Linked DNA regions of Oryctolagus cuniculus. The protein of the gene in region 2 interacts with the protein of the main gene of each other region in a pairwise test. Links are inferred from orthologs where the notes say so. Each region holds a gene or a part of one and is shown on either strand. Other genes may lie near its edges.

Evidence for each region.
Region 1: the proteins of RBSN (region 2) and EHD1 interact in binary tests that used the Homo sapiens proteins (3 or more experiments, as listed by UniProt). The link is inferred for Oryctolagus cuniculus from reciprocal best matches to the Homo sapiens genes RBSN and EHD1.
Region 3: the proteins of RBSN (region 2) and EHD3 interact in binary tests that used the Homo sapiens proteins (3 or more experiments, as listed by UniProt). The link is inferred for Oryctolagus cuniculus from reciprocal best matches to the Homo sapiens genes RBSN and EHD3.

Annotation. Positions count from the first base shown.
Region 1 is NC_091432.1:6,642,432-6,645,998, forward strand, and holds part of EHD1 (EH domain-containing protein 1), read left to right. Parts: intron 1-930; coding exon 931-1,343; intron 1,344-2,862; coding exon 2,863-3,027; intron 3,028-3,222; coding exon 3,223-3,567. UniProt on the Homo sapiens protein: ATP- and membrane-binding protein that controls membrane reorganization/tubulation upon ATP hydrolysis. In vitro causes vesiculation of endocytic membranes. Acts in early endocytic membrane fusion and membrane trafficking of recycling endosomes.
Region 2 is NC_091441.1:113,924,686-113,928,252, forward strand, and holds part of RBSN (rabenosyn-5), read right to left. Parts: intron 2,456-3,567; coding exon 2,214-2,455; intron 338-2,213; coding exon 267-337; intron 1-266. UniProt on the Homo sapiens protein: Rab4/Rab5 effector protein acting in early endocytic membrane fusion and membrane trafficking of recycling endosomes. Required for endosome fusion either homotypically or with clathrin coated vesicles.
Region 3 is NC_091433.1:171,394,727-171,396,947, reverse strand, and holds part of EHD3 (EH domain-containing protein 3), read left to right. Parts: intron 1-1,738; coding exon 1,739-2,221. UniProt on the Homo sapiens protein: ATP- and membrane-binding protein that controls membrane reorganization/tubulation upon ATP hydrolysis. In vitro causes tubulation of endocytic membranes. Binding to phosphatidic acid induces its membrane tubulation activity.

The sequences.
Region 1 (3,567 bases), on a different chromosome or scaffold from region 2:
GCAGCCGGGGCAGTCGGACTCCATTTGCATAGGACAAGTGGGGGCCCAGTCTGGTCCCAACTGCAACCAAAGTGGCAAAGCTTAAACAGGAGGCTTTTGGCATCGGCAGCAGATAAGCGCCGCAGGTACCAGAGTGGATAGGGTCGGAGCTGCAGCAGACGCGCCCTCCATGTCCCCTGGGCCACGCGGCCCCCCCCCCCCCCCCCCCCGTTCTGGAGCTCATGCTTTGTGTCTGTGCCTGTCCGCGCCAGCGCTGATGGGTGGGGCACTTCAGGTGCTGTGCATTCTGGGAGCTGAAGCGGTGACCTCGGGGGCAGCCGTGCCCCGCGTCGGAGGACTTTGAGTTCAGTCGCAGCTCTGCTCCTGGCTCCTTCCCTGCTGATGTGGACCTGGGGCAGCAGGTGTGGCTCAAGTCGTTGAGTCCCAACCACCCTCACGGAGACCCGGATGGGGCTCCCGGCTCCAGCCAGACCCAGCCCTGGCATCGTGGGCATTTGCACAGTGAACCAGCAGATGGGAGATCTGTCTACCCCCACACCCACCCCCGTACCTTTCCAACAAACAACAAAACACCTAAAAAGGCAGCTTTATAGGGGCCGGCGGCTGGGCGTAGGGGGTTAAGCTGCCATGTTGGAGGGCTGGTGTGAGTCCTGGCCCCTCTGCTTACCGTCTAGCTCCCCGCTGGCGCACCTGGGCGGCAGCGGGTGGTGGCCCAAGTGCTTGGGCCCCTGCCCCCACGCGGGAGACCTGGAGGAAGCTCCAGGCTCCTGGCCTTGACCTGGCCCAGTCCTGGCTCTTGTAGCATTTGGGGAGTGAACCAGCGGTAGGAGATGTCTCTCCCCTCTCTGATGCTCCCCCCTCCGGGGGGCGTGGCCTGGCTGTCCAGCCGCCAGGCCTCCCGAGCTCAAGCTGGCCCCGTGTCGCCCCCAGGCTACGACTTCGCGGCCGTCCTCGAGTGGTTCGCCGAGCGCGTGGACCGCATCATCCTGCTCTTCGACGCCCACAAGCTGGACATCTCGGACGAGTTCTCGGAGGTCATCAAGGCCCTCAAGAACCACGAGGACAAGATCCGCGTGGTGCTCAACAAGGCCGACCAGATCGAGACGCAGCAGCTGATGCGCGTCTACGGCGCCCTCATGTGGTCGCTGGGCAAGATCATCAACACGCCCGAGGTGGTCCGCGTCTACATCGGCTCCTTCTGGTCCCACCCGCTGCTCATCCCCGACAACCGCAAGCTGTTCGAGGCCGAGGAGCAGGACCTGTTCAAGGACATCCAGTCGCTGCCCCGCAACGCCGCCCTGCGCAAGCTCAACGACCTCATCAAGCGCGCGCGGCTGGCCAAGGTGGGCCTGGGGGGCGGGGCGTCCAGCAGGAAGCAGAGGCGTGCCCCGGCCTCCTCCGCTCCCCCTGCAGGCTTCCCTGGTGCAGGAGCGTGCGCGGGGCGGGGCGGGGCGGGGCGGGCCTGGGGGGCCCGGGGGGCCCGGGGAGTGGCTCCAGCCCCCAGCCCGGCGCTCCGTGCACACAGAAAGTCCTGGGGTTGTTTGTGTTGCTGTGGGCTGAGCCCCGTGGGAGTGACCCTGGGGAGCCAGGCGCCAGCCGCGACCCCGGGCGGACACTGGGCGTGAAGCCCAGATCCCGGTGAGCTGGCGCCCGTCCACGCAGGCCTCGTCCACCAGCTCCGACCCTTTCGTGGAAACTTGGGGCCCGGTGACGCCCGGCGGGGAGCGCCCAGATTGCTCAACAGTTTGGAATCTCGGGGCCCGGCCAAGGTTTGCGCGCGAGCTCAGGGAGGCTGGGGCGCGGAGATCAAGTTAACGCCACCATGGGGACGGACGGAGGGTGTCCCCTGTGGAGGCCTGACTTTGGACAGCCCCGCACCAGCCGCAGACCCGAGCGTGAGCAGGCGGGTGATGGCCGAGTGCGGGGCCTGGCCAGCTGCTGCCAGGCACCCCAGCGCCGGGCCAGGCTCTGCTCGTCCACCGTCCTGGTGGCCAGTCCAGGCCTGTCACTTCTGTGTCCCCAACTGTCTGGAGAGTGCTGCTGAGAGCGGGCAGCGGTCACCTGCCCGTGGCCCGCAGAGCCGTGCTGGGGACCGGGACTGGGCCTGGTCCTGGGTGTGGAGCCACCCAGTGCAGAACAGGTTTGCGAAAGCCCTGGGACGCCGTGGCCTCGGAGGAAGCAGGGAGGGGCAGCTCCCCGCACAAGGCCCTGAGAGCCGCTGGCCCTGGGCACGTTGAGTCACCAGCCTGGAAAGCCCGGGGGTCTCCGCTCTGTCCCACGCCTGCTGTCGGGCAGCTGTTTCCCTTTTGCTCTGATCCCTTGCCCTCGCGGCCCTGGGAGGTCCTCGGCGCCAGCCCTGTTGACGGCGCAGGGCTGCCGGCCCCAGGGAGGCAGGGGCAGGCCGGGTGGGGGGTGCCGGGTGGGGCCGGCCGGCTGGACTTCCTCGCCAGGGCCGGGAGAACCGAGGGCGCCACGGGGAAGTGAGCCGGGCACCGCCCTGACTTGGCAGGCGTCTGGGCAAGGCATGGCCGTGCAGATAACGCTGGGGATGGCCAGGAGCAGCCGTGCCGCCCTGTAACCCGCGGGGCGCACGGAGCTTGGGGCGTGCTCTGCACACACGCGTGGCGGGCGGCCCTGGGGACCGGCACGGCGGGTCCAATCCAGCTCGTGCACTCGGCCACGCAGCCAGGGCGAGCCTCGCGGGGCACGTGGAAGGCCTGTGGCTGCCGGGCGGGGCCGGGCGGTCCCTGGGGCCGGCTTCGCCTCCTCCCCATGGTGACGCCAGAGTTCCCGCGAGGCCCGCAGGGTCCTGGGAGGACAGCCACAGCCCTTCGGCTCCCTGATGCCCCTCCCTGCCCGCAGGTGCACGCCTACATCATCAGCTCTCTCAAGAAGGAGATGCCCAACGTGTTCGGTAAAGAGAGCAAGAAGAAGGAGCTGGTGAACAACCTGGGCGAGATCTACCAGAAGATCGAGCGGGAGCACCAGATCTCGCCGGGCGACTTCCCCAGCCTCCGCAAGATGCAGGTGCGGGCCCAGCACCCACCCGAATCCCGGAGGTCGGCCCGGGCCGGGACCCCGGGGAGGGGGAGGCGGTGACTCAGCCCCAGCTGCCGGGCGATGGGGCGGGGCAGCTCCCCCGTGTCCGGCTCTGCGGGGTCTGGGCAGCCATTGCCTCCTGCCCCGCCCCCGCCCAGCCTGTCCTTTGTCCTGCGCCCCCAGGAGCAGCTGCAGACGCAGGACTTCAGCAAGTTCCAGGCCCTGAAGCCCAAGCTGCTGGACACGGTGGACGACATGCTGGCCAACGACATCGCGCGGCTCATGGTGCTGGTGCGCCAGGAGGAGTCGCTGATGCCCTCGCAGGTGGTCAAGGGCGGCGCCTTCGACGGCACCATGAACGGGCCCTTCGGGCACGGCTACGGCGAGGGTGCCGGCGAGGGCATCGACGACGTCGAGTGGGTGGTGGGCAAGGACAAGCCCACCTACGACGAGATCTTCTACACGCTGTCGCCCGTCAACGGCAAGATCACGGGCGCCAGCGCCAAGAAGGAGATGGTCAAGTCCAAG
Region 2 (3,567 bases):
GGAAAAGGGCTGTGCTGAGCCCCGCGGCCTCAACGCCACGCTGCAGCAGCTCCTCACCCCGATGAGCACAAGCCCCACTGCACTCTTCTCACACTGTTCACAAAGCTCCCACGTGCAGCGTGGGATCCACTTAAACACAGACATGAAGAACCTCCTCAGCCGGCCACAGAGAAAAACGATGGCTAGAGCTAAGATCCCCATTTTCCGCTACTGAGAAACTGACCTGAAAGAGTCACTACTGCATTGGAACAGAGGGGACAACTTACTTTAATGACGCTGCCATCCTGATGTACTCAGGGGCCTTCTGGTCAACCTTGTCCATACAGAGTCGCAATTTCTAAGAACAAAAAGAAGTGGTGAGTGATGCCCTCCAGTCACAGAAACTTCCCAGAACTGAGGCTCCAGCCGGAGATGCACTACAAAATGCACCTTTAACAAAAGTGGGTTTTTAAAATTCTATCAATTTCCTAACTTATAAATTTGCTTTTCAAGCAGAAAATCTTTCAAGAAAGGAGAGGAAAGGCAGAGCCTCTGATAGGACGTTTCTGAGGGGAGAAGGTTTTCTGGAGCACAAGCCAAGGTACCCAGCAAGACAGAGAAAAGGAACCAGCAGCTACACTCTCTGCTGGCAACATCAGCCCACAGCAGGACCCAGCGCCACCCAGGCTCACCTCAAAACAGAAGGAAGCAGAAAGCACAAAGACCATCTACAAAAATGAGATACCGGGGCGGGCACTGTGGCGTGATAGGTTAAGCTGCTTGGCAGGAGTGCTGGTTCAAGTCCAGCACCTCCACTTCCAATCCACCTTCCTGCTAATGTGCAGTGGATGGTGACCCAGGACCTTGGGTCCCTGCCATCCCTGTGGGGGATCTGGATGGAGTGCTTGGCTTTGGCACAGTCCAGCCCTGGCTGTTGCGGGCATTTGGGGAGCGAATCAGAGCATGGAAGAGCTCTGTCTCTCCCTCTCTGTCACTCTGCCTTTCAAATAAACAAATCTTAAAGGCACAGCATAAAGATAAATGACTTTGTTTTTAAAAATGAGATACCAGGAGCCGGGACTCTGGCACAGTGGGTTAAAGCCCTGGCCTGAAGCACTGGCATCCAATGTGGGCACCAGTTCTAGTCCCAGCTGCTCCTCTTCCAATCCAGCTCTCTGCTGTGGCCTGGGATAGCAGATATCCCAAGTCCTTGGGCCCCTGCACCCACGTGGGAGACCCAGAAGAAGCTCCTGGCTCCTGCCTTCGGATCGGTGCAGCTCTGGCCATTGCGGACATCTGGGGGAACGAACCAGCGGATGGAAGAACTCTCTCTGTGTCTCTACCTCTCTCTGTAACTTACAAATAAATAAAAATAAATCTTTTTTAAAAAAGCTACCAGGTCAGGAATTACATGCAAAGGATGGATAATGGCTCCATCTGCAGCATGGGTTCAATGAGCAACCAGCTTGAGGATTTCGTGGCTCCCCAACACGGCCACTCCGCCCTACAGCACCGCGGACAGTGGTCACCGAGTGATCGTATCAGATAAAGTATGCTCTTCCTCTGCTCGGGGTTCTGCAAAAGCAGCTGCTTTCCCCCACCCCTTCCCCAACCACAACCCTGCCCAGCACCCCGTCATGAGCTCACAGGTCTCCCCAGCCACTCAGGCAGAGCCACTCTCACTCCCAGCTGTTCTTTGCACACACTATTTCCTCCCACAGTCTGTATCTAATAAGGGGGCTGGGATCACCATTGCTAAGGAGTACTGGGGGTGTCTGAAGGGACTTAGAGAGGGATGCTGGCAGCCTCTAAGAGGAAACCTATAAAGCCTGGAAATCTGGAACACCTTCTCAAACTTTAGAGCTTCAAACTCCCAGAAAGTTTCCCAGGACTGGCTTCTGCCATCTCCAGCTTCTACCCTCCCCGGAGCAACCCACATGGCAACGGCCCCAACTCCCCTTCCCCCGGGCCTCCACCACAGTCCCCACCCCAAGCCCAGCTCTCAAGAAGGCAGGGACAGCTAAGGGCAGGAGTCTGCTGCAGCACTCACAGGGCTACTCTGACTCATTCAGGGCCCTGGCTGGGAAAGCACACCCTGGCCCTTCAGCAGGAAGGAGAAATGATTCGAATGAGCAGCCTCCCAGAGCGTTCTCAGGAACATGCAGGCCTGTGCACAAGCAGCAGCCACAGAGGCCACAGCGGCCACGGGTCAGCCCAAGAGCGCGCTCTGTCACCTCGTAGAGCTTCACAATCTCGGGCGTGTGCTCCTTCTCGTCGATCTGCCGCTCCCTCTTGAGCAGCGTGTCCTTGCAGTGCGTACAGCAGCGGATCCGGTCATCGTCCTTCTCATCCAGGACCGAGCTCACACTGCTCACGCTGCTGATGCTGCCCCGGCGGGAGCCGTGGACACTGTTGGGCGACTGGCTGGGGCTGGTGTGCGTGCTCAGGGAATCCTTGCTGGCACTGGTGAGCTTGTCTGTCAAAACCAAACACCGGCAGCCATGAGCCCCACTATATCCAATTAACCCTCCCCCCACAACTGAAGGCTCCCAGTCCACAGGCACTAGATCTGGGAACTGACACAGTCAAGTGCGTCCTGTGGTGAGAAGTACCTGCCTCTCTCCTTCCTGGGGTGGGACCTGGTGGTGAGAAAGGACTCCCGAGCCATGCAGACAAGATCCAAATGGCCCAGAAGGCTTGGAGGCCCACCCCTAACCTAGCCTTACCATTCACCCCACTCCTCCTTCTGCCCTGTGCCTCGGATACACCAAATTCTTCCATGAAACCACCCCAAGACATCCAGTGCCTACCCTCTCCAAAGCCCAGCTGAAAAGGCAGGTCCTCCAGGGACATCCGTCCTTCCGGTCAGTTCCCACCACACAGTGCACTTTGGAGCACTTCCCACTTTTCTCCCTGTACAACAGTCAGGGTGCACCCCAGAGCTGGCCAAGGAGCCTGTGTCACTCACTGCAGCTGCCCAATCGTCACTGGCCAATGAGCCAAGAGAAGGCAAACAGTGTCCACAGAATATAGCTTATGAAGTCTCAGGGACAGGAAGTGGTCTCAGGGAGAAAGGCAAAGTATTAAGGTGAAGTGGGCCTGGGGGATGTGAGAGTCGGCTAGAGACACGCCTGCTTCGGCCCCCCTCCTGTGGCCAGCAAAGTACCCAGAGTCAGCAGTACTCTCCAGGGTTACAATCCACCCCCGACAGCCCAGTGAGATCAACTTCAGCAACTTCTCAACAACCAGCTGAGATGCAAGTCTGCAGCATCCTGTTCCATCTAACCTTTGGAGCCTCCTTCCCACAATCCTCAACTCTGTTCTCACACTCCTCTCCTGGAGTCCATGTGTTCATCTACTCATCTGCCCCAGGGCCTTTAGATGTGCTCTCCACTCTAACCAGAATTCCTTCTTCTCCATCTTCTGAGCAGTCCTACTCACTGCTCAAGGTACTTCCCAAGTACCACCTCCCAACCAGAGCCCCATGTTCCCACTCTCCTGAGCCTCCCACAGTACTAGTACCTCCCACATTACAACATCACAGTCTCTTCCATTGGACAATGAGCTATCTGTGACTTTTATCCTGAA
Region 3 (2,221 bases), on a different chromosome or scaffold from region 2:
GACCAGCTGTTGTGGGCATTTGGGGAGTGAACCAGCAGGTGGAAGACTTTTCTATTTCTCTGTCTCTCTCTCAAATGAAATAAAAATAAATAAATTTTTAATTTTTTTTTCATCAGAATATTGGAAAACCAAAAGCTAGCAGCCACAGAAGCACGAGTAACAGACTTTGTTCTTGTGGTTATTGGCATCTTTAGGTTGGGAAGCAGGTTCTCAGCTGATCACAGGCACTGAGAGACATCTGCCATTTCCCATCTAGTGAAATTAAGAGGACCCACGCACACACATCCCAAGGAGGCATGTACCCCTGGTCATTCATCCCTAGAACCGCCTACTGGGAGCCAGGCACCGATCTCAAAACTGCTTGGTTGGAGCACTTCTGCTCTTTGTCTTTCGGTTCAGACTTTAATGATCTGTAGACAAATCTTTGGGAAGATGGCCTCTGAAAGGGGTCGCACACCTGCTTTTTAATATGAAGAAGCCTTGTGCAGCATCAGTGCTTTGCACTTCCTCATTTGTTTGCCTGTCTGGTGTCCTGTCTGCTCTGTAGATTCTACTAAATCAACAGGGTGAACGGCTGTCATGTGTGTGTGTGTGTGTGTGTGTGTGTGTGTGGTGGGGGTGATGGGCACACCCACCATGCCCCCACAGGTGACAATAGGAGCCCTACTTGGGAGCCTCTAGGGTTAAACACACAGGGAGAGGCATGTCTGCTGGGTTCCCAGACCACGATCAGCCCCCACTGCCTCCTAGCCTTGCCCCTAGGAGGGAGGTGAGAAGCATCCAGGTTCACACTCGCTCTTGAAATGTAGCTGAGGGTGTTTCTGAATTTCTCTGCAGTGAACCCAACACGCCTGTCCCTGTGTGCTGGCTTCCTCCCAGCGTTCTGGGGTTGCTATGGCCAGAGCCAGGGCAAGAACACAAAGTGCTCCCCTTGTCACCCCCTAGAGGCCAAGGAGAAGCTGGCTGTGGTAGACTAGGGCCTTTGAACGTGACAGAACCATACAGAGTGGAGGGTGGGTCGTCACACAGAGGCAAGGAAGGGAGCGTGGAAAGTCTGCTCCTGCCCCTCCCTCCGCTGAAACGCACAGGGGAGAAACCAGTGTTCTGAGAACTCTCTCCGGGTCATTCCCATGAGCATCCTCCTGGACATCTGTAGGTTGTGAGGATGGCTTTGGCTGCCAGTAGGGTTTGATTCCAGTTGCTCTCGGCTTCTCTCACTCACTGGGGGTGGAGTGTGACTTCTCAACCCCTTGGGGCAGTGACCGAGGGGACGCAGTGAAAGTACTCATAATGAAGCGTCTTCAAGCTTCATTAAAGCAGAGACCCCCGGACTCCAGTCCCAAGTCACCCTTCCCCCACGTGTATCCTATATTCTTATGAGCCAATTCCCATAAGCAACCACGCATGCCTGAGAAAGAAGAATCCATTCCACAGCCGAGCTGGCATAAAGAGAAGCGCGATGGTTTACTCTCAATCACAAGAGACCAAACCCATACTTGTTAAAGTCCCCTGTCCCTGCCACCTTTCTACTGCTCATAGACTCCATCCTGGCCCACTGTGCCTTTTCTCCTGTTCCTCTCTCCTGTCTTCCACGATTCTCCGAGGTGACCCACTTAGCCCTGGGGATAGGAGCTGGGCTGTGGACGTCCCGGCATTATTGGAAGCGCACCGCCAGCACGCGGCTGCTGCCTCCCTTCCTGTGTCTTCACTGTCTCCCTCCCTCCCTCCCTCTCCCCAGGACCAGCTCCAGGCCCAGGACTTCAGCAAATTCCAGCCGCTGAAGAGCAAGCTGCTGGAGGTGGTGGATGACATGCTGGCACACGACATTGCCCAGCTCATGGTGCTGGTGCGCCAGGAGGAGACCCAGCGGCCCGTCCAGATGGTGAAGGGAGGAGCGTTCGAGGGCACCCTGCACGGCCCCTTCGGGCATGGCTACGGGGAAGGGGCTGGGGAGGGCATCGACGATGCAGAGTGGGTGGTGGCCAGGGACAAGCCCATGTACGACGAGATCTTCTACACCCTGTCCCCGGTGGACGGCAAGATCACAGGCGCTAATGCGAAGAAGGAGATGGTGCGCTCCAAGCTGCCCAACAGTGTGCTGGGCAAGATCTGGAAGCTGGCAGACATTGACAAGGACGGCATGCTGGATGACGAGGAGTTCGCCCTGGCCAACCACCTCATCAAAGTCAAGCTGGAGGGGCACGAGCTGCCCAACGAGCTG